4 linked regions of the Struthio camelus genome follow. Each later gene encodes a partner of the first gene's protein in a complex. Links are inferred from orthologs where the notes say so. Each region holds a gene or a part of one and is shown in the gene's direction. Other genes may lie near its edges. The genes, in order: LSM2, PPIH, LSM5 and PRPF6.

Region 1 (7,625 bases):
CTGCACACGCCTGCACTGCGCACACCTGCACACGCCTGCACTGCGCACACCTGCACACGCCTGCACACGCCTGCACTGCGCACGCCTGCACACACCTGCACACGCCTGCGCACGCCTGCACACGCCTGCGCTGCACACGCCTGCACTGCACACGCCTGCACACGCCTGCACACGCCTGCGCTGCGCACACCTGCACACGGCTGCACACACCTGCGCTGCGCACACCTGCACACGCCTGCACACACCTGCGCTGCGCACACCTGCACACGGCTGCACACGGCTGCACTGCGCACACCTGCACACGCCTGCACACGCCTGCACTGCGCACACCTGCACACGCCTGCACACACCTGCGCTGCGCACACCTGCACACACCTGCACACGCCTGCACTGCGCACACCTGCACACGGCTGCACACGGCTGCACTGCGCACACCTGCACACGCCTGCACACGCCTGCACTGCGCACACCTGCACACGGCTGCACACGGCTGCACTGCGCACACCTGCACACGCCTGCACACGCCTGCACTGCGCACACCTGCACACGCCTGCACACACCTGCGCTGCGCACACCTGCACACGCCTGCACACGCCTGCACTGCGCACACCTGCACACGGCTGCACACGGCTGCACTGCGCACACCTGCACACGGCTGCACACACCTGCGCTGCGCACACCTGCACACGGCTGCACACGGCTGCACTGCGCACATCTGCACACGCCTGCACACGGCTGCACACAGCTGCACACGCCTGCACACGCCTGCACACGCCTGCACACGCACGCAGACCGCAGCCCCGGGCCCCCTCCCTTGCCTGTGTCCCGTGTCCCCGTGTCCCGTGTCGACTCCCCGTCTGGGTCGATCCCGTGTCCCCATCCCATGTCCCGTGTCCCCGTGTCCCGTGTTGTCCCCCCGTGTCCCCTGTCTGGGTCCATCCCTGTCCCCATCCCCATCCTATCCCCATCTCCCTCCCATCCCGTGTCCCGTGTCCCCATGTCCGGGGTCCCCCCATCTGTCCCCCCGCCCACGTCCCCGTCCCATCCTTGTCCGTCCCCCGTCCACATCCCCATCCCATCCTGTCCCCGTCCCCGTCCCCCTCCATCCCCATCCCATCCTGTCCCCGTCCCACATCCCCATCCCATCCTGTCCCCCTCCGTCCCTGTCTGTCCCATCCCATCCTGTCCCCGTCCCCGTCCCCCTCCATCCCCATCCCATCCCGCGGGTCCCCATCCCCGTCCCCCTCCGTCCCCGTCCCCGTCCCCATCCCCATCCCTGTCCCCGTCCCCCTCCATCCCCGTCCCCGTCCCCCTCTGTCCCCATCCCCGTCCCCATCCCGTGGGTCCCCGTCCCCGTCCCATCCCGTCCCGCGGGTCCCCGTCCCCCTCCGTCCCCATCCCCGTCCCCGTCCCCCTCCATCCCTGTCCCCATCCCCGTCCCCCTCCGTCCCCGTCCCGCGGGTCCCCGTCCCCGTCCCCGTCCCCCTCCGTCCCGCTCACCGCAGGGTCCCGCCGGTGCCGCGGCGCCCCGGAGCCGCCCTTAAATCGCGGTGGCGGCGCGGGGCCGGGCCGTGTCGTCACGGGGCCGTGGGGCCGGTTCGCCCGGTCCGGCCCGGCCGTGGGCGTGCGGGTGCGACACCGACACGGGACACGGGGACACGGGACACGGGACATGGGGACACGGGACACGAGACACGGGGACACGGGGACACGGGGACACGGGACACGGGGACACGGGACATGGGACACGAGACATGGGGACATGGGGACACGGGACATGGGACACAGGACATGGGGACACGGGGACACGGGATACGGGACACGGGACATGGGACACGAGACATGGGGACATGGGGACACGGGACATGGGACACAGGACATGGGGACACGGGGACACGGGGACACGGGACACGGGGACACGGGACATGGGACACGGGACATGGGGACACGGGACACGAGACACGGGGACACGGGGACACGGGGACACGGGACACGGGGACACGGGACACGGGACATGGGGACACGGGACACGAGACACGGGGACACGGGGACACGGGGACACGGGACACGGGGACACGGGACACGGGACACGGGACACGGGGACACGGGACACGGGGACACGGGACATGGGGACACGGGACACGGAGACACGGGACACGGGACACGGGGACACGGGACATGGGGACACGGGACACGGGGACACGGGACACGGAGACACGGGACACGGGGACACGGGACACGGGGACACGGGACACGGGGACACGGGACATGGGGACATGGGGACACGGGGACATGGGACACGAGACACGGGACATGGGACACGGGGACATGGGGACACGGGACACGAGACATGGGGACATGGGGACACGGGACATGGGACACGGGACATGGGACACGGGACATGGGGACACGGGGACACGGGGACACGGGACACGGGGACACGGGACACGGGACACGGGGACACGGGACACGAGACACGGGGACACGGGGACACGGGGACACGGGACACGGGGACACGGGACACGGGACATGGGGACACGGGACACGAGACACGGGGACACGGGGACACGGGGACACGGGACACGGGGACACGGGACACGGGACACGAGACACGGGACACGGGACACGGGGACACGGGACACGGGGACACGGGACATGGGGACACGGGACACGGAGACACGGGACACGGGGACACGGGACATGGGGACATGGGGACACGGGGACATGGGACACGAGACACGGGACATGGGACACGGGGACATGGGGACACGGGACACGAGACATGGGGACATGGGGACACGGGACATGGGACACGGGACATGGGACACGGGACATGGGACACGAGACATGGGGACATGGGGACACGGGACATGGGGACACGGGACACGGGACACGAGACACGGGACATGGGACACGGGGACACGGGGACACGGGACACGAGACATGGGGACATGGGGACACGGGACATGGGACACGGGACATGGGACACGGGACATGGGACACGAGACATGGGGACATGGGGACACGGGACATGGGGACACGGGACACGGGACACGAGACACGGGACATGGGACACGGGGACACGGGGACACGGGACACGAGACATGGGGACATGGGGACACGGGACATGGGACACGGGACATGGGACACGGGACACGGGACATGGGACACGGGACATGGGACACGGGACATGGGGACACGGGGACACGGGGACACGGCACACGGGGACACGAGACACGGGGACACGGGACACGGGGACACAGCACACGGCACATGGGACATGGCACACGGGGACATGGGACATGGGACACGGGACACGGGATACGGGGACACGGGGGTGTGGGGATGGGGGACACGGGACACACGGGACATGGGGGACAGGGGGGTGTGGGGACGGGGGGACATGAACATGGGGACGGGGGGACGGGGACGGGGGACATGGGAGGGGGCAGAGGGACGTGGGGCCCCATCTGGGGTGGGACTCGGTCCCAGAGCGCTGATCCATCCCCGTCCCCCGTGTCCCCACACCGTGTCCCCCGGGTCCTCGAGACCCCCGTGTCCCCCGTGTCCCTGTGACCCCCGTGTCCCTGTGACCCCCGTGTCCCCGTGACCCCCGTGTCCCCACCCCACGTCCCCCAGGTCCCCGTGACCCCCGTGTCCCTGTGACCCCCGTGTCCCCGTGACCCCCGTGTCCCCCATGTCCCTGTGACCCCCGTGTCCCCGTGACCCCCGTGTCCCCCATGTCCCCGTGACCCCCGTGTCCCCGTGACCCCCGTGTCCCCACCCCACGTCCCCCAGGTCCCCGTGTCCCCCGAGTCCCCGTGACCCCTGTGTCCCCCAAGTCCCCGTGTCCCCCATGTCCCTGTGACCCCCATGTCCCCGTGACCCCCGTGTCCCCACCCCACGTCCCCCGTGTCCCTGTGTCCCCCGTGTCCCCGTGACCCCCGTGTCCCCACCCCACGTCCCCCAGGTCCCCGTGACCCCCATGTCCCTGTGACCCCCATGTCCCTGTGACCCCCGTGTCCCCACCCCACGTCCCCCAGGTCCCCGTGACCCCCGTGTCCCTGTGACCCCCGTGTCCCCGTGACCCCCGTGTCCCCACCCCACGTCCCCCAGGTCCCCGTGACCCCCATGTCCCTGTGACCCCCGTGTCCCCACCCCACGTCCCCCATGTCCCTGTGACCCCCGTGTCCCTGTGACCCCCGTGTCCCTGTGACCCCCGTGTCCCCACCCCACGTCCCCCAGGTCCCCGTGACCCCCATGTCCCCGTGACCCCCATGTCCCCGTGACCCCCGTGTCCCCACCCCACGTCCCCCAGGTCCCCGTGTCCCCCGTGTCCCCGTGACCCCCGTGTCCCCACCCCACGTCCCCTGTGTCCCGCGTGTCCCCCTCCCGCGCCCGGTCGCTCGCGGCGGCCCCGCCCGGGCGGCGATGGGCGGGGGCGGGGGCGCGGCCGGACGCCGGGGCCCCTCCGACGCCTGGGCCCGCGGGCGGCGGCCTGGCCGGGTGCCGCGGGCGCCCCCGGGGGCGGGGCCAGACCAGCGATTCCGTTCGGGGGCGGGGCCAGGGCGGCGGGTCCGCCCCCGGGGGCGGGGCCAGACCAGCGATTCCGTTCGGGGGCGGGGCCAGGCCGGCGGGTCCGCCCCCGGGGCGGGGCCAGGGCGGCGATTCCGTTCGGGGGCGGGGCCAGGGCGGCGGGCTCCGCCCCTGGGGGCGGGGCCAGACCAGCGATTCCGTTCGGGGGCGGGGCCAGGCCGGCGGGTCCGCCCCCGGGGCGGGGCCAGACCAGCGATTCCGTTCGGGGGCGGGGCCAGGACGGCGGGTCCGCCCCCGGGGGCGGGGCCAGGGCGGCTGCTCCGCGCGCGGCGGAAGGGGGCGGGGCCTCGCCGGTTCCCTGGCGCGTGGGGCAGCGGCGGCCGCGATGGTCGGCGGGGCCGGGGGGCTCGTGGGGGGGCCCGGGGGGCTCGAGGGGGGGCCGGGAGCGCCGGGGGGGCCCGGGGGGGCGGGGCGGAGCGGGCCGCGGGGCCGGGGGCGGCGGCGGGCAGCAGCGGCCCCGCGCGACCCCCGTGTCCGTGTCCCCGCAGCTTTTCTACTCCTTCTTCAAGTCCCTCGTGGGCAAAGACGTCGTGGTGGAGCTCAAGAACGACCTCAGGTGAGGACCCCCCCCCACGGGGCCCAGGCGTCCGGCCTCCCACCCCCACGGGGACCCCGGCGTCCGGGACCCCCGCCACGGGGCCCAGGCGTCCGGGACCCACCCCCACGGGGGCCCAGGCGTCCGGCCTCCCACCCCCACGGGGACTCCGGCGTCCGGGACCCCCCCCACGGGGCCCAGGCGTCCGGGACCCACCCCCACGGGGGCTCCGGCGTCCGGCCTCCCACCCCCACGGGGACTCCGGCGTCCGGGACCCCCCCCACGGGGCACAGGCGTCCGGGACCCACCCCCACGGGGGTCCAGGCGTCCGGCCTCCCACCCCCACGGGGACTCCGGCGTCCGGGACCCCCCCCACGGGGCCCAGGCGTCCGGGAACCCCCCCACGGGGTCCAGACGTCCGGCCTCCCCCCCCCACGGGGACCCCGGCGTCCGGGACCCCCGCCACGGGGCCCAGGCGTCCGGCCTCCCCCCCCCACGGGGCCCAGGCGTCCGGCCTCCCCCCCCCACGGGGACCCCGGCGTCCGGGACCCCCGCCACGGGGCCCAGGCGTCCGGGACCCACCCCCACGGGGGCCCAGGCGTCCGGCCTCCCACCCCCACGGGGACTCCGGCATCCGGCCTCCCACCCCCACGGGGACTCCGGCGTCCGGGACCCCCCCCACGGGGCCCAGGCGTCTGGGAACCCCCCCACGGGGTCCAGACGTCCGGGAACCCCCCCCCACGGGGCCCAGGCGTCCGGCCTCCCACCCCTACAGGGCCCAGGCGTCCAGCCTCCCCCCCCCACGGGGACTCGGGCGTCCGGGACCCCCCCCACGGGGCCCAGGCGTCCGGGACCCCCCCCCCACGGGGCCCAGGCGTCCGGGACCCCCCCCCCACGGGGCCCAGGCGTCCGGGTAACTCTCTCTCCCCCCAGCATCTGCGGGACGCTGCACTCCGTGGACCAGGTGAGTGGGGCCAGGGGCCACGGGGGGGGAAGGGGGCTGCGGGGGTCCCGGGGGGGGGCTGGATCCCTCGGTGGGACGGGACCGGGGGGGCAGGTTGGGCCCACGGGGGTCTGTGGGGTGGAGGGGATCGTCGGGGGCAGGACCCTCGGGGTTCCCAGGCCGTGACCCCCCCGCGTCCCCGCAGTACCTGAACATCAAACTGACGGACATCAGCGTCACCGACCCCGAGAAGTACCCGCACATGGTAAGGCCCGGACGCCTGGGTCCCCCGGACGCCTGGGTCCCCCCCGGGCCCCAGACCCTCCGATGCCGGGGTCCCCCGGACGCCTGGGTCCCCCCCGGGCCGGCCGCGGTGCCCCAGGCCCTCCGATGCCGGGGTCCCCCGGACGCCTGGGTCCCCCCCGGGCCCCAGGCCCTCCGATGCCGGGGTCCCCCGGACGCCTGGGTCCCCCCCGGGCCGGCCGCGGTGCCCCAGGCCCTCCGATGCCGGGGTCTCCCGGACACCTGGGTCCCCCGGACACCTGGGCCCAACCACCCTGGACGCCTGGGTCCCCCCCGGGCCGGCCGCGGTGCCCCAGGCCCTCCGATGCCGGGGTCCCCCGGGGCCCCGCTGACGCCCGGACGCCTGGGTCCCCCGCAGCTGTCGGTGAAGAACTGCTTCATCCGGGGCTCGGTCGTGCGCTACGTGCAGCTCCCGGCCGACGAGGTCGACACGCAGCTGCTCCAGGACGCCGCCCGCAAGGAGGCCCTGCAGCAGAAGCAGTGAGCCCGGACGCCGGGGCCCCCCGGACGCCGGGGCCCCGTCACCCCCTCCCCGGCCCGGATGCCGGGGCCCCCACTCCGCTGCCCCCCGTTTCTCTACCTCACCCCGACGCCCTCCCCGAGACCCCCCTGCTCGCCCGGACGCCGGGGTTCACCGCTGCGCCCCAGCCCCGCGGGGGCCGGGGGGGTGAGCCCCGGCGTCCGGGCGGCGGCGGGGCGCAATAAACGCTGGTGACGGGCACCCGGACCTGGCTGTGTCGTGGCTGCGTCCCCGGACGCCGGGGTCCCTCGGGGGGGGGTTGGGGGGTCCCGGATGCCGGGGTCCCTGGTGGGAGGTTGGGGGGTCCCGGATGCCGGGGTCCCGGGTGGGGAGTTGGGGGGCCCTGGACTCCTGGGTGGGGGGAGGGTAACGTTCCCCGGACGCCTGGGTCCCTGGAAGGCGTTGGGGGGGGGGTCTCGGACGCCTGGGTCCCGGGTGGGGGGGGATTGGGGGTCCCCGGAGGACCCGGCTGTTCGCCCGCCGCCAGGGGTCGCCGGACGCGCTCCGTAACCCGCGGTGGCCGCTCTGCCCCGCCGAGCCGCACGGCTCTATGATCCGGGAGCCCGCCCCGCCCCCCTCCTCCCCCCCCCCCCCCGCACACACAGCGCTGACTGAGCCTGCGCAGCGGCAGCAGCCAATCCGGGAGCAGCCCGGGGCGCGGGGCGGGACGGGCGCATGCGCGGGGCGGGGGCAGGCGCTGGCGGCGCATGCGCGGTGCGCGCGGCTCC
Region 2 (7,981 bases), on another chromosome or scaffold:
CCCGTCCAAGAGCGCAGCGTTTCCCAAAGCCACTTCCCCCAAAGTCCCACCTCACTCTGCGCACTCCAGCCCGCGCCTTTGCCCTCCCCTCTCCCGTCACCTCCGCATCACGGCTCGGCTTTGGTGGCCTCCCGCAGGGAAGGAGATGCCTGCCAGCGAGACACCCTGGAAGCCCAAAAGGAAGAAGCTCTTCACACCTGCATCCCCGCAACAGCTCCCAGAGGAAGGACACCTCCTCACCCCGGGGTCTACTGCGGGCTGAGCCTGGACTCCTACAACCTCCACGTCCAGCTTTTTACGCGCTCCTCGGTCCTTTCAGACACCTGGTCTTGTCCAACCCTCCCTTTCGAGAGAGACAGTGCTCCCTGGGGGCTTCGTGTGCCACCCCTTTCTGGGGGCCACCTTCTGCAAAGGGAGCCAGCTGGGACACTTTGTTCACCGGGGAGAGGCTCTTTGTCACGGGAGGCATGAAGTGCTATGAGGGGAACACACGGAGGGGCCCTTGGCTCCCTGCATTGCTCTGGGCAGCAAGAGAGTACCTTTTCTGCCAGCCTCCGCAGCCACTTCTTTCTCGGAGGTGGCATCCGTATGCACAAACCTGGAAACAAGCAGGAGACAGCGGTTTCGAGAAGGGGCAGCACAGGCTCTTGCAGCCTCCACTAAGCAGCTGGTCACGGGGAGAGTGGAGAGCTGCTGTCAAGCCTCTGGTCTGCCAAAGCAGAAGACAGCATGTGGTCAGCACATATCTTAGGAAGGTGAGTACACACAACCCCAGTGCTGGGAAGGGCACAAGAGGCCCCAACCACAGCTCTTGTTTCCACCTGCTTGGGATGTACCTTCTCAGAGATGCTTTTCCGGAAGAAGACACATGCAGGAAAGAGGAAGATCTTGGGCACTGGGCCTTGTCTTTTTCAGCCTCAGCCAAAAGAAAGGGCAGGAGCACAAGAAGCTCTGCGCCAAGTGGGGCCTAACTTCCTCTCCCACACAGGGCGGGAACAGAAAGCAGGCCCTCCTCCAGCTGACTTCACCCCAACAGACAGGGCTTCCCAACAAAGCATGGCTGACCACGCACTTCACTGAGAAGCCCTCGTCTGACAAACTTCTTCCCCGCTAGCTTCAGGAGGAGACAAGCCCTGGCAACGAGGCCCTCGGCAGCTCTCGGTGGCTCTACCAAGTGGGAGATGAGAAGCTGCATGCTCGGTCCGTCAAGGGCTGCAGAAGGAAACCTACTCTCTGTGGGAACAAGAAGACACCCCCCAGCAGGCATCTGGAAAACAGCCGTCTCCCTGTGGGTGATGATCAAAGGCCTCAGCCTTGGCTTCTGCAACAGAGACCGAGACCCATGAGGCCACCCCCAGGAAATGAGCCCCTTGCTCACAAGGCAAACAGTTGCCCACCAGCCACATGAGAAGCTGCCTCTCCACAACTCTCTCACCAAGTGCTCTTGCACCAACATCAGCCCCTCTCCCAACTTGTGCCTGCAGCCCAGCAAAGCCCTGAGAATGGGCAGCAACACTGCCAGACTTTGGGCAAGGGCAAGAATCAGGAGACTCCCTCAGGAGACTCGGTCTTGCCTAAAGGAGAAGTCAACGGAAGCTAGCACGACGCAAGGCTTTGTGGTAGCTGGCCTCTCTGGTGGCTGCCTTTGCTCTCTTTGCTTGCACGGACCATTGCTGAAGACAGAACAGGGAGTCCAAGCAGTGCGGCCAACCCCCAAGTCTCTGCTGACACTCAAACGGCTGCATCTGTAGCTGCAGGAAGAGAGACACGCAGCCCTCCTTCCTCCCTGGCACGCTCAGGGAAACCTGGGACAGCCAAAGCCCCGAGAGCTGGAACAACAGCAAGCGGGGGGCCCGGTCCGAGACCCGTCACTGCAGCACAGGCTGCAAAGGGCTGGTCAGTGCAGCGACACCAGCAGAGCAGGACGGCAGGGCCTTGGTCCGTTGGTGCCTCTGCGTCCTGCCCAGAGACAGCATCTCTACAGCGTCGCTTTCTGGGAGGAGGAGGGCAGGCACTGGGAGAAGCACCAAGACAAACCTGCCCCGGGCTTATACTCTTTCCTAGCACAAAGGGACATGGGCTACCGGGCTGGATCTTTGCTCTGACCAAAGACAGCTTCTCAGAAGGGCTTCTGTGTCGCCAAGTCTCTCCTGAAGGCCAGACAAGAAGTCTGCCGAGAGCTCGCGTTCCTGTAAATCAAGGCGAGCGCAGGGGACGAGGCAGGCCAAGGCTTTGACCAGGAAGCAGGAGCAGGAGAGGCAGTGCTGAAAAGAGGCCCGACTTACGCTGAGGAAAGATTTTGCCAAGTTCCTGGTCCTACCTACTTTGTAAATAAAGTCTTCAAAGAATCTCATCAGCACTCCAGGATGCTGAAGTTCTTGAAGACAAAGTCCAAATCCTTGCTCGTGGACAAGGCCCACACAAAGACTTTCAGGGTCGCCTCTATACGTCTCAGCACCTTCCCCTTCGGAACGTGCGGCCGCAGTGCAAGCTGGGCCTAGTTCAACTCCACAGCTTGGGAATAGGCTGGAAACAAAGCACCGAGCAACAAAGTGACTTGAGCAGCCCTTCAGCAGACCCCAAACACCCTGCAGCACAACAGACAGCCCCTCGGGAGGCTTCTCGCCCCCCCCTTCCACCCCACCTACTCTCCATGGAGCAGCCAACGTCTTGCCTGCGGGGGCCACAGCCCCGTCCCCACACCCCCTGCTCTCAGCAGCAAAGAGGAGATGGCATCAGTGGAAGGGAAGAACCACTCCAAACACAGCCCCCACCCCGTGCTGCTCCACACTCACCATCAAGGGCATCCTGGGGCTCTCCATGGCCTTGGGGCAAACCCGCTCCCCCGTCTCTGCTTCGTGCCTGACTGCGGCTCGCTTAGGCCCCTTGTCCCCACAAGGCAGCTGGCAGGGCCAGCAACAACGCTGGCACTCGCCTTCCACAGTGCGCCAGGCTTTCTGCCCTGCCAGGAGGAGCTCGAGAAGGCCCTGAAGAAGCGAGCTCACAGTCTGCTTCTCCAGCTGGGCTTTGCTTTTTCTCTCCATTGAGGGAGACGTGGCTCTGGGGCAAAACTGACACAAAACTGCAGGCTCCTGCTGGGGCATTTCTTCTGCTTTCAGCGGTGGCAAGGAATAAGGCTGCTCCATGGCAGGATGGAAGCGGGGGCTCAGCACTCATGAGGGTTGGAAGGAGGGTGAGGAGACAAGACCCACCTGGTTCAGCAGCAGCGCTTGGCAGTAGCATTCAGAGATGCTGTCCCAAATTTTAACAACATCTGGGGAGCAAGAGGAAGACATGCCATGCTTGAAGTCAGACAAGCTCACCACCATCCCACCTGCTCCAAACCAAGCTCCAAGATGCCAGCATCATCCCCACCACCACCAGCATCCTCGCAAGGACCCGCGGCGGAGGGGCCTGCAGAGCTGAGTTTTTACCTGACATCCGACTAGAAGCCCTCTGCTGACCCCACGAGAAGTCTGGAGCTGAAACGAAGGCACGAGAAGGGCTTTGGACGAGGGGCTCCTCCCATCCGAAAGGGGAAGGGGGCTCCGAGGTCGCAGCCTCTTCCCTGCTCTGGAGGCACAAGCGGATCCCAGAAGAAACCAGAGGCGGTGGCTAGCTTTTTCCAAGAAGCCAAGCTCAGCAGAAGGAACTACAAGGTCTTGCGAAGGAAACGAGCCACCCCTAACGAGCGCGTTTCCAGCAGGCTCTCTGGAGGCCAGGGCACCTCAGCCTTCTTCACGCTTCCTTTCCTGGCAGATCCTCCTCGCCGCACCTCATCCTCTCCTTGGCCAAAGCTGCCAACGGCTTCGCAGGCCAGCGAGGGGACGGCGCCTCGGGGCACCTCCGGGCCTTTCCTTCCTGCCCCAACCCCGCGAGGCCTGCAGACAGCGGCAGGGGGAACTCGGAGGAGAGCCGCTCCGGGGCGCCAAGCCCTCCAGGAGCAGTCAATACACGCGTGTGGCTGACACGGAAGCGGCCGTTAGGCACGCGGCCGTTATGGAAGCGGCCGTTACGGGAGCGACCATTACACGCGTGATCGTTACGCGCGCGGCCATTATGGAAGTGGCTGTTACGGGAGCAACGGTTACGGAAGTGGCCATTACGGGAGGGACCATTACACGCCTGATCGTTACGCGCGTGGCCATTACGGAAGCCGTTATGGGAGCGACCGTTACGGGAGAGACCATTACACATGTGATCGTTACATGCACAGCCATTATGGAAGCGGCCGTTACGGGAGCGGCTGTTACGGAACTGGCCGTTATCGGAGCGACCGTTACACGCGTGATCGTTACGCGCGCGGCCATTATGGAAGTGGCCGTTAACGGGAGCGGCCGTTAGGGGAGCGGCTGTTACGTCCGCGGCCGTTATGCACGTGATCGTTACGTGCGTGGCCATTATGGAAGCGGCCGTTAGGGGAGCGGCTGTTACGTGCGTGGTCATTATGGAAGCAGCCGTTACGGGAGCAACGGTGATGGAAGCAGCCGTTACGGGAGCGACCGTTACACGCGTGATCGTTACACGGGCAGCCATTATGGAAGCGGCCATTACGGGAGCGGCCGTTAGGGGAGCGACTATTATGCATGTGATCGTTACGCGCGCGGCCATTATAGAAGCGGCCGTTAGGGGAGGGACCGTTAGGGAGCGACCATTACACGCGTGATCGTTACGCCCGTGGCCATTATAGAAGCGGCCGTTAGGGGCGCGGCTGTTACGTCCGTGGCCGTTATACACGTGATCCTTATGCGCGCGGCCATTATGGAAGCGGCCGTTAGGGGAGCGGCCGTTACGCGCGCGGCCGTGACAGGAGCGGCCGTTACGCGCGCGGCCGTGACAGGAGCGGCCGTTAGGGGAGCAGCCGTTACGGGAGCGACCGTTACGCGCGCGGCCGTGACGGGAGCGGCCGTTACGCGCGCACCTCTCCGCGCCGCCGCGGCCGCTTCCGCTTCCGGGGGCGGGCGGGCGCCATGGCGGTGTTGGCGTCCAACCCCAACAACCCCGTGGTCTTCTTCGACGTCTCCATCGGCGGGCAGGTGGGCGAGGCGGCTACGTGGGGGAGGGGGGCTGCGGGGGGGGGGAAGGGATTGCGTGGGGGTGGGCGTTACATGCGGGGAGGGGGCGCCATGGGGAGGGGTTTCAGGGGGTGGTGGGGGGTGCGCAGCGGGGAGGGGGGCTGCATTGGGGAGGGGGCTGCAGCGGGAGGAGGTCTCGGGGGGGCAGAGCTGCAGTGGGAGGGGGCTGGGGCGCATTGGGGGGGATTGTGGGGGGGCTGCAGGGGGAGACGGCTGCAGCGGCGCAGTGAGGGGTGAAGCAGGAGTAGGGGGGCGCAGGAGGTGCAACTGGAGGGAGCTGCTCGGGTGCCGGGGGAGGGACGCGGGGATACCGGTGGGTGCAGCGGGGGTCCGGCAGGCTGCGCTGACCACGTTTCCCCCCCCCCCCGCAGGAGGTCGGCCGCATGAAAATCGAGCTGTTCGCTGATGTCGTGCCCAAAACGGCGGAGAATTTCAGGTAAGGGGCAGCCGGCGCCGCTTCGTGCTGCGGGAGCGTTTCCGGTGCAAGAGCAACCACCTCCTTGCCAGAGCCGCTGCATCCCCTTCGCGCCTCTCTCCGTGGTCATCTCAGTCCCACAGTAGACATTCATATACCCTGCCCTCTGTGCAAAACGGTGCCGCACGCCACGCTCGCCGTCTCTTACAACCCCGGTGTTGAACAGCTGACCCTCCCCAACTGCAGAAATGCCCCTTTTGAAATGGAAACGATGAGCAGTTCCTGACAGTTGCCCTTTTCCTTGGTGGTATTCCTGATGCTTTAAGGACAATCCTGCAGTTTTTCTTCTGTAAAACATTCAGAGCGCAGCGGTTTGGCATTCCTAGGAATACAAATGTGACTCATGCTCTGCTGTTTTGTACTTTTTGTTTTCCAGGCAGTTTTGTACAGGTGAATTCAGGTATGTGCTTAGATTCTCCTTCTAAATAGTATTAAAAAATATTCAGATGAGCAGAGGGCTGGGGGACTAGAAAGAGAGGTCACCTGGAAGTTTTTCTTAGTGCATCAACACAGAACGAAAAAGTTAGAGAAAACACGACTGGCTCAGTCACACGGATGGCAGACTTACCCAGCCTTCCCTTTTGGGTGCGGCCAGAGTCGGGTACGGGTTTGGGTACGTTGCTGTAACTGGCACTGCCAGCAAATCCCATGGGAGAGTTTTGTGTTGGGATATACAGTAAACTGCAATGATTTTCCTTTTTATTTCCTCCTAGGAAAGATGGTGTCCCTATAGGTTATAAGGGAAGCACTTTCCACAGGTAACTCTTCTGCTTTTGTTTAGATGCTTAAACAGCAGTGTGAGCTGGGCCTGGTTTTGAGAGCTGCCTCAAAGGTGTTATTAGTCTGGGAGGTGTTTTTTAAGCATGGAGGACTGGTCACTGCTGGTATCATCTTTCCAGAGCCTCTGGCATGTCTGTCCTTTGGGGGGATTGGGGGATTTGGGGTTGCCCTCAGATATACCAGAGGGAAACCATGGTCTCCTTGGAGCTTTTGAGTTGACACACAGGGGTCACTTTGCAGGGGGTCCCCCCATTCCTGGTCTGCCAGGTCAGAGATTATGTTCTTGCATATATCACCTAATCTATCCCATGTTTAACAGCAGTGGATCCCAAATTACTTTATATCAGCCAGTAGTTAATATTCAGTGTAGATTTTGCATTGTAGTACTTACAGACCCTTATGATTTTTTTGGTTGTGAGAACTAACTCCCTTTTCTGACATAGTAAGCTTCTGGAGGCATTTTTTGACTGAGAAGTAAGTATCGTTTTACTTTTTGTAGGGTAATAAAGGATTTCATGATCCAAGGAGGTGACTTTGTAAACGTATGTACTTCTGTATTTCTTTTGTACTTTTGCTGCGTGGTATAATATGCGACTCTTTCCCAAGGTCCATGCTTACTTGCAATATCTGTTGGCTCTCTTATGAGGCAGCCAGTAATAACTGGAGGTTTCCTTACAATGTTCCTACGATCTTACTGCAGCAGTACAAGTACAATGTACTTGGAAAGAAATCCGGAGACTTGGGCAAGCACGTTTTCTTCTCTCCCAAAATATTTCCCCTTTAAAACAGCATGATAGCATCATTAGAGACTCTTCAAACTTGCAGGGAATTTTTACCCTGTTGCCCTTCTCCTTTCTTCTGTCCCCCAGGCAAGAAACCCTACAAATTTCTTTTGGCTCTGTGGAGAGAGACTCTGAGCATAAATCCTAGCGTCTAGTCCAGGATTTATTTAAATCAAAATTAATTTCTATTATTAGTGAATTGTCTCAAAGTAGAAAAGACTTTGTACCTACAGTATTGTGCCTTTCGGATAAGCCAACTGTTGGGGAGATGCTGGATGATCACTGGGTCTCTTCGCTACCCTAGGACCTGGGGAAATTATTTCATTTCCCAAACCACTTGCAATTGGAGGGGGATGATGGAAAAAGCTTTTTAACACAAAACTCAATTTTGTGAAAGCTGAGAGAACTGACTGCAAAGTGTGTGGCTTAGTCACATTGGGTTTGCAGCTAGTCCTAATCATCATGCTGCTCAAATGTCCCCGTGGCTTTATTACTTTCACTAAAGCTCAACAAGCTTTACAGGTTGCACTGGTATTTGTAACTTATTAATTGCGCTTCTTATAAAGCTACTTGGGGACCAAGAACGGCCACACTGGGCCCTGAAATAGGGTACACGATCCTGCCTTGTAGCTGACAGTTTGAATAAGCCACATAGCAGTAAAAGAAGCAGAGACTAGGCAAGTAGAGCAAAAGGTGCAGCGCTGCAAGTGGTATGTTACTGGCATCTTATTTTCCTTGTTTAAGCCTGGCTTAACGCACACACGCAAAAAAGTTAAGTGGAAAGGTAATGAAGGGAGACGAGATGCAGCAGGGCAGAAGAAAAAAAGGGCTGAAGGAAACACTAAATCAGCACAGAAAGGGAAATTACT
Region 3 (7,626 bases), on another chromosome or scaffold:
CTGAACACAGAACTCACTGTCTTTCCTAGCAGAGGTCAGTATTTATTCAACCTCAGTTCTTCTAGAGACTGCCCAATCACAAAATGTGGAACAACTCTAGAAGCTTAAATACTAGTTTTATTTTAATACTGCAACATTAAGCAAAACATTGTTTGAATAGCCATTATTTTATTGGCTCAAATACAAGTCCTACTGACATAAAACAAGCTTAAAAAAAATCTCTCGTTATAACAAAGCTCTTAAAATGGAAAATTATAGAAAAAAAGAGGGGGGGGGAAGAAAAGAGAGGCTAAAACACACTAATCCTTTTGGACAGGGAGTCAATAGCACTCCAGGAGTCCGGGCGCAGGGGCAGAGAGCTGGCTCTCTGCTTTCTTGTGGGCCACCCGATTCTTACCTCAGGGATTCACCCCGTGCAGGAGAGGCAGAGCACCGTGAAGGCACGGAGGCCCCATGCTCTCCTGACACCAAGGCTCCCACGGGGCGCCCCTGAGGCCTGCCCAGCTCCCCAGCACAGGAAGGGGCCCGCCAAGCGCAGGCAGGGCAGGAGGCGAGCACAGCTCGCCAGGGAGCAGGGCGCCGGCCCCAGCTGCCTGCCCTGCCCAGCAGCATGTGCTGTCCGGCCTGTCAGCAAGCGCCCGCAGCGCTCCGGGTCGCTGCTCCTCCATCGCTAGCAGATTCACCTCAAAAAAAAAAAAAAAAATCGCAAAAATATTTTTTGTTTTGACCTTCTTGGAGATCCCCCTCTGCCTCTAGGCCTGCAGTGATCACCAGGGCTTATGTCAAACGCCGGCGGGGGGAGGGGGGCTGGACACGACACCCGTCGCCAGGGACCCGCAGTGCCGAGCCTGGCGCAGCCTCGCCCGCCCGCATCGCACTCACCCTCGGGCGGGAGCGCTTCGGGCGTGTCGCGCGCGCGCCTGACCGCACGTTAACCGCCCTCTGCCGCGCGAGGCGAACTGAGTCACGGCTTCGGCGGGCCCCCCCGCACCTCCGGGCCCCGTACGCCGTTAGTACCGTTGGGCCCCAACGAGCTCCCAGCCTCGCCGACCCTACGGCCTAGGAAACGACCCCCCCCCACGCCGGGGGGGGCAGGGGGAGGGTGTGGGGAGACGCGGGAGAAGGCGGCGCCCCTCACCTGGCAGCCCTTCTTGTGGTGGAAGCCCACCACCACGATGTGCAGCACCGGCCCCCGCTGAGGGCCGGCCGGCGGGGAGGCGCCTGGCTTCTCCATGCCGAAGGCCGCTGCCCACCGCCCCGCCGCCGCCGCCGCCGCCGCCGAGCCCGGGCGCTCGCTCCGCCTCCCGCCGCCCAGGAGCCCGGCGGAGCCGCCCCAGCCACCCGCTTCCTTCCGCAGCGCCGGCCCGGCGGAGGGCGGAGCCTCCCGTCTCGCCCCGCCCGGCCTTCTTCTGCCCGGTGCTCGCCCAGCTCCGCCCGCCGCCGCCGCTTGCCCCGCGCCGGGAGCGCCGCTGCCCGCTCGGCCCCGGGGCTGGGTACACCCGAAAACGGTGGCGAGTTTCTCTCTCTCTCTCTCTCAGTAAATCTTAATTATTGACTACTTAACTGATGGCAGCACAAAACTCTGACCCGATTTTAATATCCACGTTAAGTGAGGTGGCTTGCGGAAGACTGAAAATAAAACCGAAAGATAAACTTATTTCTGAAGTTTGGTTGTTTTTTTTTTTTGGCATGGATCTTCCATTTTCCAAGTGTTGCTGTTCAAACAAATTAGGGCTCCGTGCTGTTTGCAGAACTTGAGAGAAGTCAGCCGTGGGGTTGCTTAACTGGGGGCACATCTATTAATGGGTTCAAGTTGGAAAAATCAAGTTAATGCACTTCCATTAGAGCTGTTACACTACTAAACATATATTAGGATATCCTGAGGAAGAGAGTTCAAAGCCCTGTCCCAGAGCACAAACAAATTCAGTATAAGAGAGTTAAAATCTTTTATCTTGCTGTGCTCAGACCATGCTCCCTCATTAACCTTTCTCAGGATTCAGTCCTGTTTAAGTCAACAGCATTTGCTAGTGACTGTACCCTTAATAATTAGGACTCTTTGTGGAAATTAGAAGAAGAGATTCATTTGGGAAAAAAAAATAGAAGAAAAATGCTCAAAGAAAATCTCATCGCTACCACAATACCCAGGAGCTCCAATTCTAACACCAAAGTCTATAATTACATATTGTTCTTCAACTTCAACAGAAGCTCCATTACATAAAATATATACTTTGGGGAACAAAGGATAAACTGCAGGGAACAATCCTTCACTGGCAAGAGAACAATTCCTTATCAGGTCTTTTCTGTACCTTACTTTTATGATGCTCAATATAATTCCAAAAAAGAACAATGTGTGAAATATGAGCCATTATCCCCTCCAGTAACAGGATATACCAAAAAAGAGATGCCTGAGAGTATTTTTATTTCATGTTCAGTTAATTGAAGAAAGGGCAGTGTGGCAGTACTCTCAGTGCTATGGATTTTGCATTATAAGGGCATCACAATGAGACTGCTGGATAACTGTGGATTATTACTTCTCTGAATAGGTTATTAGATTTTTTTTCATTGTTTGAAATTTTCTTTCCCACTAAGGCAATAAATAAAAATGTTAAATGTTAGACTGAATGACATCAGCCTGTTTTAGAAAATTGAACTGACTGACATATTTTATGTCTTTTTCACAGCTAACACTGTGTGTGTGTAGTTATGGAATAGAAAGGGAGATAGAGCAGCTATGAAAGTCTCAGTGGGAACTTTCCTAATGGAATTTACTTTCTCAATGCATATCTAACAAATATCAGTAATAAACTCGAACAAACTCAGTTGGCCATAGAGGGAGTTCTTTTCTCTCAGCAGTAATATTTGAGCTACCGCAAGCTATTATAACATCAGCACAGCAAACAGAATTTGTCACTCATTTGGAATTTAGTAACAATTATCAAAGTTATCAGTGCTGATTATGTGTAGTGACACTTCTTGAGATGGATAACTTTTACAAGAGAAGTATGTTTTATGCATCTAGAAGTAGCCTCAGAGGTGAGCAGTGCTTGTAGTAGCTGGTAGTTTCACTGAATTTTTTAAGTATAGCCCATTTTCCTAAAGGAAGAAATTGTGAATTTGTAGAGAAGAGCATGTGACTAAAAATAATTATTCTGAGATTTCTGCTAATAAGAAAGCATAAACGAAATCCTGGCATGGATTTGAGGTTTGTAACTGATTTCTTGCTGGTTACAATCTCAGTTCCTGTTTGGAGTGTATTGCTTCTGAGGCTCTTACACCAAATACTAGCAAAACCAAACTGAATTTTATGTAGTAATGACTATGACTCTGCTTGGGATTATGATCTCCCACTTGGAACCTTCTCCTGTAAAAAAAAAAAAAGAAAGGTAAAAGACAAAGAAAGTAATGATGGGCTAGAGAATTCATGAATGTCTCACAGTATTAGGAAACTGGAGGATATTTTACAAAGATAAAAGTCTTAGATATGAACATTAAAATACAGAAAATAGCCATTAGTTAAATAAACAAACAAAAAAACCCATGCAGAACAAAGTGATTATTTTGATCAAAATTTGGAAAAAGGCAGTAAGGCAAGAGGAAAAAACCTCTGAAAGTGAAAGTTCATCTGTCTTCACTATCATGAATTCACGTGCACAAGAATTTCATTAAAGGCATGTTTTGGATCAGTATGTATGCAAAATGATCCTACTGAATTGCGGTCATTTGATTTAGAGCACCGGGTATAGCTCACATTCAACGAAACATATCAAATTGCCAAAAAACCTGCCTAGTTTCAACGCAGCTACAGTTTTGCTACTTGTGCAACATCGCTTGGCTTTTGTTTTACCTTTTTCTTTTGACTGCCCTCAGTGACTACGTAGATCTCCCACCAGGGGAAAAATACGTAGTTGAAATTACTTTGGCGTGATAATATTTAGCCAAAGGAGGATCGGTGCTGCAATGTGGGTAACCTTCAGAAAACCACGATTCTGTAAAATATTTAATTTTTCAAAAGAAAAAAAGCTAGAGCTTGACAACAGTCTCCAGTTCGAGGCACTAAAAAAAAAAAAAGCCGGCACAACCGTTAGGGACAGTAAATTTCAAGCGATTCGAGAAATCAGGAGGATTTTTAAAGCCCTTAGAAACAACGAAGCTTTGGGCAGAGAGCCAGGCTCACCCTGAAACACAGCGGGGCCCGCTCCCTGCTGTAGCATTACGGCTTACGTTACTAAGCGGGTGCAGACGGCGCAGCGGCTTTTCCACCTCGAAAAATAATTTAAATCCCTTTAATTCCTCAGCCGGATCACAGCACGGAGCCCCACCGCAGCCGAGGGAGCCGGAGCACGGCATCCACTACAGACAGCGACCGAGCCCCTGCCTGCTGATTAGAGAGGAAGATGTACCAGCTCCGCCTAAGAGGAAAAACACTCCGGGCTCCTCCTGCGTGGCCAGGGCGGCCATGTCCCCCCGCTGCCCGGCCTGGAGCTCCCGGGAAGAACGAGCGCTCGGACATCGGCTAGGCGGGGCTGCCGCTCCGACCCAAGAGTGTGCCTCGCCGTCAGCGGACCGTTCACTTCCGCAGGAGCGACTGGTTAGGCCTGGGTCCAATATGGCGGCTAACGCGACTACCAACCCGTCTCAGCTCCTGCCGCTCGGTAACCAGCGCTGCCGCTGCGGTGTCTCCGCTCTCTCCCGGTTGTTGCGGTCGGCGGCGCGGGGTGCGGGGGGGGCTTTCCTCAAGGAAAGAGCAGGGAAGAGAGGGCGGTGCCCAGGCTCCCCTAGCGGCGCGAGGGGCACCGCGCGTGGCGGGAGGTTTGAATGGGGCCCGGAGCGGTTGGGAGGCGAGGGGCGGGGCGCGCGTCACGCGCGGCGGCGGGCGCTGACGTCACGGGCGGCGCGCGGCGGGTGCGCGAGAGCGGCCGTTGGGGTGGGGCGGGGGGGGGGTGTCGTGTCATGTCTCTGCGGGAGTGTGGGGGCCTGGCTGTGCCGGCGTGGGAGGGAAGCGAGGTCCCGGCCCTCGGCGTGTGAGGGGTCCGGGGTGGGGGAGGAAGTCGCGCCCGTCACGGCTTCAGCCTAGGGGGCTGCATGGTTCTAGCTCAAACGTCAAGCGTTCTTGGCGGAGAAAAAAAAACAAAGTAACCCCCCCAAATTGAGGTAAAGCCTAACAAAAGCTTTCCACTGCTGTGAGAGGAGGTGGTCAGGGAAGAAAGGTGAGGAGAACAGTCGTAACTTGTCCATAAAATTTCTGCCTTACATCTTTTTGTTAAATTGTGGGATCCCAGTGCGTTATATCGCTACTCGGGCCGCTCAGGAGCAATGTCTGGATGGGTAAACTGTTCGACTTCTGGCAAATATTGATTAGGAGAGGTTTTAAATTTCTGTCTCTGGAGGGAAAAATAACGAGTCTTTTAAGAGTAGACAGCATACAAAGAAATTATTCATATCTTCGATAGGGATGCAGCACAAAGGTCTGCTGAAGATAGATCTAACTTTGGTGCTTAGCTCTCAGGTACTAATTAAACATGCAGTTAACAGCAGTAGTAATATGGCTTCACCAAAGTAAGGTAATAGTACTGTATAAACATGCTTAGAGAGTTTTTTTGTGTAGCATTAGTAGTAAACTGTGCAAGGAAAAGATTTATTTTTCTCTGTTTTGCTGGTGCCCTTGACAATTACTTTTTTTGCCATCATAATGTTGGGCTTTTTGTTTAGAAGTGTGTTTTTAATGCTTTTAATTTTTTTTCCTAATTTGCAGAACTTGTGGACAAATGTATAGGTTCACGCATTCATATTGTGATGAAGAGCGATAAAGAAATTGTTGGAACGCTTCTAGGATTTGATGACTTTGTCAGTATCCTTTAATGGAAAGGTTTAAGCCTAAACTTCATGTTTCTGCTTAATTTGTCTATTACTTTTAAGAGTTTGGAATTCCACTGAGTAGAAATTTATTATATTGTTTCATATGTTACTCTGATTTTATTTTATAGATGAAATCACACTTCCACGTAAAAGGAAAATAATTTAGAGTCTCTGCACCTTAAGGTCTCTCTACCTTATTTTCCTTGAAACTAGACTTTCAGACATGGTGTTAGAAGATGTTACAGAATTGTAAGTATTATTTCTATCTTTTGTGGCTTTTTAAACTTTGATTTTCCAAGTTACAAAAACATGGTATCAGCACAGTAATGTGATATTTTTGGAATACTTGTTGATTGAATAATTTAGACCTTAGACTTAAACTAGATGATGACCTATTGAGGACAGCCATGTCATAGAGCACCCGTTTCATGGTTTATCTCAGTAAATATTTTTAATGAAGCTCCTAATTTACAGCCTCAATTTTGCATGGGTTCTGGGTTGAACTCTCCAGTAGTTTGTTTGCTTTTAAGGCCTTGTAACACATAGGCAAAGATTTGGAAACCTGGCACACTTAAGGATAAGTAGTCATTACTTTGTTTTGCTATCTTGCTATTTGCAGCCTTTTTTGAATATTAGTGGTAGTCAAGATTTTGGTAGGATTTAGAGGGTAAATCCACATCTTTATGTGCTAAGGAGAAAAGTACAATGGATCTCTTTGGTCTTCACGTAGATTTCTTGACCCAGATGGCCAATGTATCAAGATTATGTTGTGAGATAGCTAATTTATTTGTTACTTCTGATAAATTTCATTCTAATGTAGAGCTTTGTGTCAGTACAATCATCAAAACTATAATCATCTTCCATAGTGGTATGTTCTTATTTTACTTAAGTCTTTTTTTTTTTCTTTTCCTGATGCCGTTTCAGTGAAATTACACCTGAGGGCAGAAGAATCACAAAACTAGACCAGATTTTGCTAAACGGAAATAACATAACAATGGTAAGTCGTCATTGCAAAGAGATTGCATGCACTTATGTCTGCAGTTGTTGAATTCAATTATTGCTTGATTTGCTACTCCAAGCTGAGTGGTCCGCTACATAGGCTACTTCGAGTAGCTTTAGGGGCATATGTGTATATGACTGAGGCTAGAGAAGCGATCTTATTGTCATACTTGTCATGTGTTACAGCTTAACATCTGTGAAAATGGGATGGTCATAATTTCATTTTGGTGAATCCTTTTCTGGTCTTCAGGTGTGTTAGGGAATCACTTCTGGCTTTGGAACCTTCTTTGGAGGCTGGTTAATACAGCGGCTTTTAACTTACGAGTGCTTGGCTGTACAACTATGTAGGGCAGGATGCATCTAAATCACATCCATTATCTTATGTATGGATGCGTTTGCAGCAGTTTGGATACTTACACGCAGGTCAAGTCATTCGACTGTTAAAATAGCATGTGATACCCAGGGAGCAATGCCTTTATGTGCACTGAGAAAAGATGTGGAGATCTGTTGAGCTATACTGAATTAGAAGCACTATGATTTTAGTTTATTTTATGTTGATATATGCAGATCAGGACTGAAGCAGTAATTACGGTTATGCATCCCTCAGCTGAATTCCTAGGCACTTTACCACAAAAACAAACCTATTACAGTAGTTTTTTGCTTATTTGCGTAGATGGCTGCCGAGTCAGGGCCTACTATATCTGAATACAAGGGTATTCCTAGTTCTGTGAGAAGAGGAAGAAGACAGACTTGAGTCTAGGTTGACTCTCT
Region 4 (8,231 bases), on another chromosome or scaffold:
CGGGCTCCACGAGCTGCCCTTGAAATGAAACCTGTGCAAATAATCAGCATTTCCTTTCTCACGCGATTCCCACTCCTTTTGCCTGGGAATGACATCAGTTTGGGCTGACACGAGGCTAAAAGCACCATCTGCATCCAGAAGTTTGGGCAAACCAAGCGGTAAGGAATCCGCTGAGGTCAGACAAAATCCTCTGCTTCCTCCCACTCGGGTTTTTTCTCTCCCAACTTGATGAAATTGCCATCAGTTCATTACAAGTTTTGCAATCTTTTTGGCCAAAATCGTTTTGGCTGAAAAGGTTCGGCCAGCTCCATCTGATCTCTATTAGCTAATCGAAGCCCAAGCGGTTGGATTCTGCCCTTCTCACTGGGGATATTCCCTTGCTCCGGGCAGCGACATCACCCGAGCGCTGCAATTATTAAGCCAATACTCGGAACGGGCACAAGTGAAAACCGGCACCTGAGGAAAGCGAGCCGGCATCCAGCTGCCGACTAGCGTGAGAAAATTAATGACCGTGTTATGGCCACATTACGTATCCGTGGCCTGAAGCTCTGACTTTCCTTCAGGCCTGATTTGGGAGCTTACCAGCTCTGTTTAGCTGCTCATGGGATTTGATTGATTATTTGCATTGCTCAAGGGTAAGGTACGGCCTGGCTTGGATCGATTGGCTGCGCTCTGAGCGTAACCGCGTGGTGCTGTGTGATCTGAGAACCGGCTGCTATTTCATTGCAAATTTAAGCTCTTCGCTTCGAGCTTGCTCTGCGTGTGCACGGCCCCTGCAGATGCACGCACGCGCCCGCATGCATCGCCACTGTTAGGGGGACGCTCTTAGCTTGCAAAGGGCTTCGCTGATGCCTCCCGCAGCCTCCGCCCCGGCGCTGCAGGGGAATTCAGATAGGACATCGCCGAACCACCCGGTGCAGTGTGCAACCCTGGTGCCGTCAGCCTGCCTCCCGGGCCGGCTCTTGCCGCGGCACGTCCTCGGCCCGGGGCGCCACGGCCGGACCCGCTGCGCGGTGCCCTCGTCCGGGCTGCCCGCGCCGCCGGGCGCCTCGGGACGTGCCGGCCCGGCCTCAGCATCTCCAGACTTTAGAGAGCTCCGGATTAAAAGGCAATTTAAAAAAGAAGCGGCATGTTGGTATTGTCCTCAGCAGGCTGCGGGCTCGCGGCCGTGAGCTTTCCCGGAGCGTCCTCGCGCCCGGGCAGTTCTCCTTGCGCACCGCGAGCTGACGCAAGCTCGGCTCTTGCGGCCGCCCCGGCTGCCAACTGCACGGCGAGGACCCTTCGGCATCCCCCGCTAATCGTCCCCGAGACGTGAGATGGCTTCGGCGGAGGCGTCCGGAGGCGCTGGCTCTCGCCGCGTGCCGGCGCGGGCTTGGCGCTCGGCTGCCGCTGGCACCGGTGAGCTGCGCAAAGGCTCCCGCTGCCGCGGGGCACCAGGCGCCCGCGTGGCGCATGGCAGCGAGCAGATGCTGCGACCGCGGCCTCCGGGCCCCTCTGGAGCCGTTGTGTGGGACTAATTAAAATTTCAGGAAGTATATTTACCTAATGCAGAGCTGATTTTGCTAAGTAGGACATCCTGTCTTCAGAGGATTTCACGGCACAGGGCGATAATCAAGTGCGAATAGGCTCCAAAAGTGTTAATGTAGTAGCTGAGCAGACGCAGATTAAAAACAAGTCCCTGTTTAGTCTTTTCTCTCACTTTCGCACCTGAAATCCAAGTAATCATCCGATTTGGGAGTGCAAAGCAGCAACACCTCAATGCTGCAAGCAGCACGCAAACCGCCGGCGCAGGTCTGCCCAGGGCGGCCGTGGCCGGACTCGCACCGGATGGCAGGGAAGGAGCCGGCGCTGCTGCACGCGCGAGCTCCCCGCCGCCCCGCCGTCCTCGGGGCGATGCCCTGCACACGTCAGCTCCCTGCCATCCTCGGGGCGATGCCCTGCATCCCGCCGTCCTCGGGGCGATGCCCTGCATCCTGAAATCCTCGGGGCGATGCCCTCCACACACCAGCTCCCCGCCGTCCTTGGGGCGATGCCCCCTGCATGCACCAGCTCCCCGCCGTCCTCGGGGTGACGCCCTGCATCCCACCGTCCTTGGGGCGATGCCCTGCGCACGCCAGCTGCATGATCCATTCTTGCAATAATCTCCTGTGTTATCTATTCTCGCTGCATTACGTCATATTTAAAAACATTAATTTCCAGTGCATGGACAGCCCCGCGTTTCTGCCTGGCGCAGGGCCGCAGCGCGGCCAGCACTCCTACACCGGCTTCGCCGGCTCGCTCTCCCGTTGTCCTGGCAGAGGACGGTGACTCCGGCACCTCTTCCCTACAGTTCGTGCTGCAGGTAGCAGCCGGGGAGCGCGCTCTCCGAGAGCGAAGCGCAGCGCCGGCGCGGCTCCTCGCTGCTGCCGTTGCCTCTGCTCCTTAGCGGTTTTATTGCCCGTGCACAGAGACGCAGGCGCGAGAGGCAAGAGCCGCTATGCTCGCGCGCGCGCCGCGGAGCAGCTTGGTTTTCTTGTAGAGTTACGGCCGAACTGCAAAGGCCGAGCGCGCAGCACGGGCGGTGCATTATATTTGCACATTTAGCAGGTGCAGTTGCCCCTTCGCCCCTCAGATTTTGCCACTGAAAACTAGGACCAGTCGCTGGTTTTGCTCCCGCGGCCGCTCCACGCCAGGGATGCTCCGCGCCAGGCTGCGGCTCTGCGCGACGCTCACCCGCGCGTCAACGCTGGGTACCCGCAGAGTTGACTAAAAAGCATTTACGAGGCATTTTACCGAGCCTATAAATTATGCCGGGCGTTCTCGCGGGTGGGAGCGCGACTGCGCCGCGACGGCTGGCGGCGGCCGGCGCGCGGCATCCTTCCCGCGCAGCACGGGAAAGGATGTGGCTGTGGTGTGAACAGAGCAAACGTACAGCACCGAGACCAGCCCCGTGCTCCAGGGCAGCGGCGCATCCCCCAGCGCCACCCTGACCGTTTGCCAAAAGCGATGCTCATTATTATTATTATTATTATTATTATTATTTTCCGCCAGCCAACCCCCAAAATAGCTCGCTGTGAAGTGGCTGGGGGTTGGGTGCGCGGTTAGCGTGCAGAATGGGGCTGTTCGTCTTCTCCGCAGCTGCTTGGCGCTTCCAAGAGGCTGGTGGGAGCTGCCGCGGGGCGCGGGGGCGGCGCGGGCCGGGGCGGCCGGCGGGGGCCAGCGCCCCACCGGGGGGGCCCCTAGACCCCGGAGCGGGCGCTAATGCAGCCGTGAACCTGCCGTGCCCGGAGCACTTTGCAAACGGGCGCTAATTAATCCGGCACGGGCAAAACCCTGCGAGACCCGGCCGGCCCCCGAGGGCTCCCGCGGCCCTCGGAGCCGGTTTCGTCCCTCGGGTGGGATAAGCGGCCGCGGCGGTGGCTGGCGCTTGGTGACTTCCCGGCGTTCATTGGGAGCTGACGTCCTTTTTTTTTCAAGGGATTGACTCGATAAGCCAAACTCCGCGTTGTCGGAGGGAAAAGGGCCGTGCCGGAGCGCGGGAAGCCACGCTGACACCCCGCTCCCGACACGGCGCCTGCTTTGGGGGCGTTCGTGGGAGCTAGGCGTTAGACCAGGGGCCAGGCTGGCCCTGGGCCGCTGGGACGTGTCCTGAGTGCGACAGTGCTCTGCAGCCCCATCTCCTCGGTCGCTTTGGGGCGGCGGGTTGAATCGCACCCCTAAAGCCAACAGGCTCCCTTGGCGCCAGCTGCTCTCCGGCCCCCCCCAGTCCCCCGGAGGAACGTCTCATCTCAGTCGCCCCGAGCCCGAATCCGCCTCCGACTCTGGCTGGAGCAGGGCCCGAGCTCAGGGAGAGCCTGATTAAACCAGGGGACGCATAGCTTTAAATTAAGCCTGCGCCATCTGTTCTGCCTGTTTAATTGCAAATGCAAAAGAGGAAGAAGCTAGTTTGTAATTAATCAGCAAAAAAGATCCAAGTTATTTAATGCGGGCGCATGCCTTTTGTTCGGCGTGCTGTGAATCTACGAGGATTTTTGCATTTATTAAGGCAAACGAGGAGGAAGCGTGTGGGCGCGGGGCGGCGCAGCGGGTGCCACGGGGTGCGTCCGGGATAGAGCGGGCCGAGCGCTGTGCTGCATTTGCGGGTCCGGCTGCACCCCTGTGGCTATAGGTGTCCATATATGTGCCCACACTAGAGACATGCATGGGAGTATGTTCATTTAGGTGTGGACACATGCGTGTGTTTGTCGGTGGATGTGTGCAAAGTGTATGTAATGCAGAAGGGATGTGTGGCATTCCGTGTGCGTGCGGGGACGCAACTCCTCACAGGCAAGGACGCGTGTGCAGGAAAGCTGGGTTGGAACCTATGCAGGCGGCGCGTGAGGCTTTAACACGTATTTGTGCTTGTTAGCAGGCATACCTGTGGTGGAAAGGTGTGGTCTACACACGGAGCAAGAGCCACGTGTGTGCACGCAGGTTTGTGCGCACGTGCATACAGATGTATAGGTGCAGGTGTGTGCAGGTGCACAGGTGTGCATGCACATGCACGCAGGTGTGCAGCTTTACGCACGTGCAGGTGTGCATGCGCGTGTGTGATGTGTACACGTGTACCTGCATGGTGTGCAGGCACACGTGTGTGCAGGGGTGGGTGGGTGCATGCGTGCGTGCCATGCGTGCAGAGCGGTGTGCGTGCAGGCATGCACGTTATGCACGGAGGTGGGTGCGCGGGTGCATGCACAGCTGTGTGCGAGGGTGTGCCCATGTGCAGGTGCACGGGCACCCGTGCACGCATGCAGAGGTTTGTGCACCGTGTGCAGGTGCGCCGTGCACGTCCGCGCGTGCACGGGTGCAGCTGTGCGTGCCCGCTCCTGCGTGCGCGCGCGCGCCTGCCCGGGGCGCGCGCACCGGGGTGTTACCCACGTGCGGGCATGCAACGCCTGCGCGCCCGGGGGTGGGGAGGTGGGGGGTGGGGGCCGGCAGGGGTGCGCATGCGCGCCGGGCTCTGGCGGGACCCCCGGGGCGCCAGGGGGCGCGGGGGGCGCGAGGGACGCTCCCTCCCCCTCCTCCTCCCCCCCCTCCCTCCCCGGCCGCGGAGCGGAAGTGCCGGGTCGCGCTTCCGGCCGCGCGGGCCGCCTGGGTAGCCCCGCCCCGCGGCGCGGCCTGTGATGGCGGCCGCTTCCGCCGCCGCTTCCGCCGCCGCCTCCCGAGCGGCCCCGCCTCCGCCGCTCGCCTCGCCGCCGCCATCGCCGCCGCCATGAACAAGAAAAAGAAGCCGTTTCTGGGCATGCCCGCGCCCCTGGGCTATGTACCGGGGCTGGGCCGCGGGTGAGCCCCCTCCCCCCCACCCCCGGCCCGCCTTCCCCCTCCGCGGCCTTCGTCGCCCGGCCCGGCCCGGCCTGGTCCCCCTGGCCCCCCCGCGGGCCCGCAGCCCCTTCCCCCAACTCCAGGCTGAGCCCGGTTTTACGCCCCGCCGCCCATCGCCGTCCCCTCGGGGCAGGCCGTGCCCAGCGGCCCCTGCTCCGCTTTTTAAAGTTTTATTCATTCTGGGCGGTTTGCGTCTGCCTTTTCGATAGGCTGTTCTTACGTAAACGCCGACTTCGGGGATGAGTTCGAGGGTTTTTTGAGCGTTGTCCGTTAGGAGGGGTGTTGCCGCTGACCCGGGGTTTGTGCGCTCGTGTCGTAATTGCGTGTGCGCGTGGGGGGCTTCGGTAGAAGTCATTAAAATCAGGGCACGCTTGTGCTGGCAGTTATAGGGTAAAACAACAGGCAGGTCCTGGTGATGCATGGGCAGCAGGGGTTTGCCCTGTGGTGGTGGGGAGCTATGTTGTTCTTGGGTGACAGCGGATTTGCATCCTGGTTTTCTCTGTCATGATTTGTTCGTGTCTTTGCTTTGGGTTGAGGCATCCTTGTGGACAGGGGCATGTAGTCCTGTAGGCTGGGCCCTGGAAAGCATTGACTAGCTGAATATGGGGCTTCTGAAGAGCCCCCGTGTCTGCCTCTGCCCTGATTGTATGCACCTTACAACCTGCAGGATGTAGATAATCTTTTTTGCTGCATGCCATTGATGGATAGACTTTAAAAGCGAATGCATCTCTGGGTACAAGGTGATGGATGGTGAGGGGGTGAGCAGGACAACTTGATTCTAGTATCATTATAAATAAAGTTATACCTATAAAAGGACAATTGTTCCCAAAGGGTTTCATGAACAGTAGGGATGGGTAATGCCATCCCTGTGAATGAAGTGTTTTTTTAAATTTTCTAGTTTTAAGTAATTTTAACAGACTCTGTGTAGTGATTGCACTGCTGCGTTGTAAATAGCTGCTATTGGTCTGTCAACATAGAGCCACAGGTTTCACCACCCGGTCTGATATCGGCCCAGCACGTGATGCCAATGACCCGGTGGATGATCGTCATGCTCCGCCAGGGAAAAGAACGGTTGGGGATCAAATGAAGAAGAATCAGACGGCTGATGATGATGACGAAGATCTGAATGACACCAATTATGATGAGGTGATGTGTTAATCATCCTTCAGGTGTTTTTTCCCTAGTGGAAGAGGAGCCCATTAGCTTCCTGCTCTCTTGTCGTAAAACCCTCAGTCAGCTAACAGCACTTCCTCTTTTTTTGTTTTCTTTCTTTCTTTTTTTTTTTATTGGGACCCTGTTATACATAATAGCATAGTGCTTTCAGATCTCTGTTTTGGTGTTCATCCATATGTGTGATTTAATTATATATACAGAGCCCTGAGAGTCTTAGGAAGAAATCCATAGGTAAAATATTAGTTTAAGTGCTTCATGGGACGCATCTTTTATTCGGCTGCAAAAATGAAATCTAAGCTTTTGACATAGTTCTGTTTTTACGCGGTCTGTGTAGTCTCTTGTGTTTAAATCACGCTTTGGTTAGTTAACTATTGTGTTACTCTTTTTGTTTGATTTCAATAGTAACACTTTTTGGGTAATGGAACAAAACGGCTTTTCTCTACTGGGGAGCTTGTTTATTGCTTAATAGAAAGTTTTGCTGTTGAAATGGTGTGGGAGAATCGGCTCTTGCGGTAGAAGAAAGTTGTTTGTATTTAGGGATGTTTTAGTGTGATGCAGTGTTACTAAAAATAGTTTGCTCATGCGTTTTCTTTATCCTGCATGACTGTTGGCTGTACTAGGTACATAAAGAGTTCTAAACTGCAGGTTCAGCTTTTTTTGAACTGCTATTTATTTTATTCTTAGTTCAATGGGTATGCTGGGAGCCTGTTCTCAAGTGGTCCCTATGAAAAAGACGATGAGGAAGCAGATGCTATTTATGCAGCTTTGGATAAAAGGATGGATGAACGGAGAAAAGAAAGAAGGTAGGCTTAGTTACAATGCTGGCAAGGAGTGTTTTTGAGTTGGTCTGCGTTTTCTATTTAGTCTGTATTTCAGAGTTTTCTTCTGTTTTTCAACTCAAATTTTGTCCTTGTCTACTGAATATATTTTCAGAAGCAGATGCTGGTTTTGTTTGTGTTAATGCTGTACGTTAGATACTGTTGCTTTAAGAGCTATGGATACTTGGCACAATTTAACCTGAGCGTATCTCTGTGCTTGTTGCCCATTTTCTTCAGTGGTAGATTTGGTTGAATTGCTTCATTGTAATTCCTTAGGAAGATTTAGGGAGATGCTGAGCTAATGTTTCTGACATATTACCTACTGTACGATACACTGGCAATTGTTACAGAAGTCATCTAATGCAGATGTCTTGTAAACCCGTGAGTGTCACTTAATTTTTTTTAAGTTTATTGCCTGGTCTACAGGTAAGTGGAGGTTAAAGAGTGAAGTTGATTTGGTTGCAAATGTCTAATTTGACACTGTAACATTGTCTTAATTGATGAGCTATTTAATTTGCTGTTATAGACGATGATAGTCTAAACTTGGAATAATAATGTTTTTTGTGCCTTACCTCTGATCAAACACATTTTTCTGTAATAACAATGCTTTAGATAAAGACTTGCTCAGTGTTACTTTGAGTATAACTTCAGTACCCCTTTTCCTAAGGGAACAACGAGAGAAAGAGGAGATAGAAAAATACCGTATGGAACGACCCAAAATTCAGCAGCAGTTCTCAGACTTGAAAGTAAGGAGAGAAAGCTTTCTTAAATATGACTTTTGTCTTTATGACATATGGGAGATGGATGCATGTTTTGCGTTGACTTGCGCAGATTCTGTCTGTTAGCATGCAAATAGTTTGTTGCTCTCCAGATTAAAATAATTTTATATTGGAAAAAACT

What was found.
Region 2: LSM2 (region 1) and PPIH share a complex: the UniProt entries of both Homo sapiens proteins name them as parts of the U4/U6-U5 tri-snRNP complex. The link is inferred for Struthio camelus from reciprocal best matches to the Homo sapiens genes LSM2 and PPIH.
Region 3: LSM2 (region 1) and LSM5 share a complex: the UniProt entries of both Homo sapiens proteins name them as parts of the precatalytic spliceosome. The link is inferred for Struthio camelus from reciprocal best matches to the Homo sapiens genes LSM2 and LSM5.
Region 4: LSM2 (region 1) and PRPF6 share a complex: the UniProt entries of both Homo sapiens proteins name them as parts of the U4/U6-U5 tri-snRNP complex. The link is inferred for Struthio camelus from reciprocal best matches to the Homo sapiens genes LSM2 and PRPF6.

What each region holds. Positions count from the first base shown.
Region 1 is NW_027182645.1:4,561-12,185, forward strand, and holds LSM2 (U6 snRNA-associated Sm-like protein LSm2), read left to right. Parts: upstream 1-4,851; 5' UTR 4,852-4,921; coding exon 4,922-4,924; intron 4,925-5,084; coding exon 5,085-5,152; intron 5,153-6,064; coding exon 6,065-6,095; intron 6,096-6,279; coding exon 6,280-6,339; intron 6,340-6,735; coding exon 6,736-6,861; 3' UTR 6,862-7,103; downstream 7,104-7,625. UniProt on the Homo sapiens protein: Plays a role in pre-mRNA splicing as component of the U4/U6-U5 tri-snRNP complex that is involved in spliceosome assembly, and as component of the precatalytic spliceosome (spliceosome B complex).
Region 2 is NC_090962.1:12,645,553-12,653,533, reverse strand, and holds the start of PPIH (peptidyl-prolyl cis-trans isomerase H), read left to right. Parts: upstream 1-4,751; 5' UTR 4,752-4,970; coding exon 4,971-5,036; intron 5,037-5,446; coding exon 5,447-5,511; intron 5,512-5,926; coding exon 5,927-5,950; intron 5,951-6,263; coding exon 6,264-6,308; intron 6,309-6,829; coding exon 6,830-6,872; intron 6,873-7,981. UniProt on the Homo sapiens protein: PPIase that catalyzes the cis-trans isomerization of proline imidic peptide bonds in oligopeptides and may therefore assist protein folding. Participates in pre-mRNA splicing.
Region 3 is NC_090943.1:55,213,879-55,221,504, reverse strand, and holds the start of LSM5 (U6 snRNA-associated Sm-like protein LSm5), read left to right. Parts: upstream 1-4,251; 5' UTR 4,252-4,456; coding exon 4,457-4,652; intron 4,653-5,752; coding exon 5,753-5,848; intron 5,849-6,077; coding exon 6,078-6,105; intron 6,106-6,780; coding exon 6,781-6,853; intron 6,854-7,626. Other genes in the region: late secretory pathway protein AVL9 homolog, read right to left, coding at 1,139-1,234. UniProt on the Homo sapiens protein: Plays a role in pre-mRNA splicing as component of the U4/U6-U5 tri-snRNP complex that is involved in spliceosome assembly, and as component of the precatalytic spliceosome (spliceosome B complex).
Region 4 is NC_090959.1:17,594,534-17,602,764, reverse strand, and holds the start of PRPF6 (pre-mRNA-processing factor 6), read left to right. Parts: upstream 1-5,106; 5' UTR 5,107-5,230; coding exon 5,231-5,301; intron 5,302-6,317; coding exon 6,318-6,486; intron 6,487-7,197; coding exon 7,198-7,316; intron 7,317-7,998; coding exon 7,999-8,077; intron 8,078-8,231. UniProt on the Homo sapiens protein: Involved in pre-mRNA splicing as component of the U4/U6-U5 tri-snRNP complex, one of the building blocks of the spliceosome.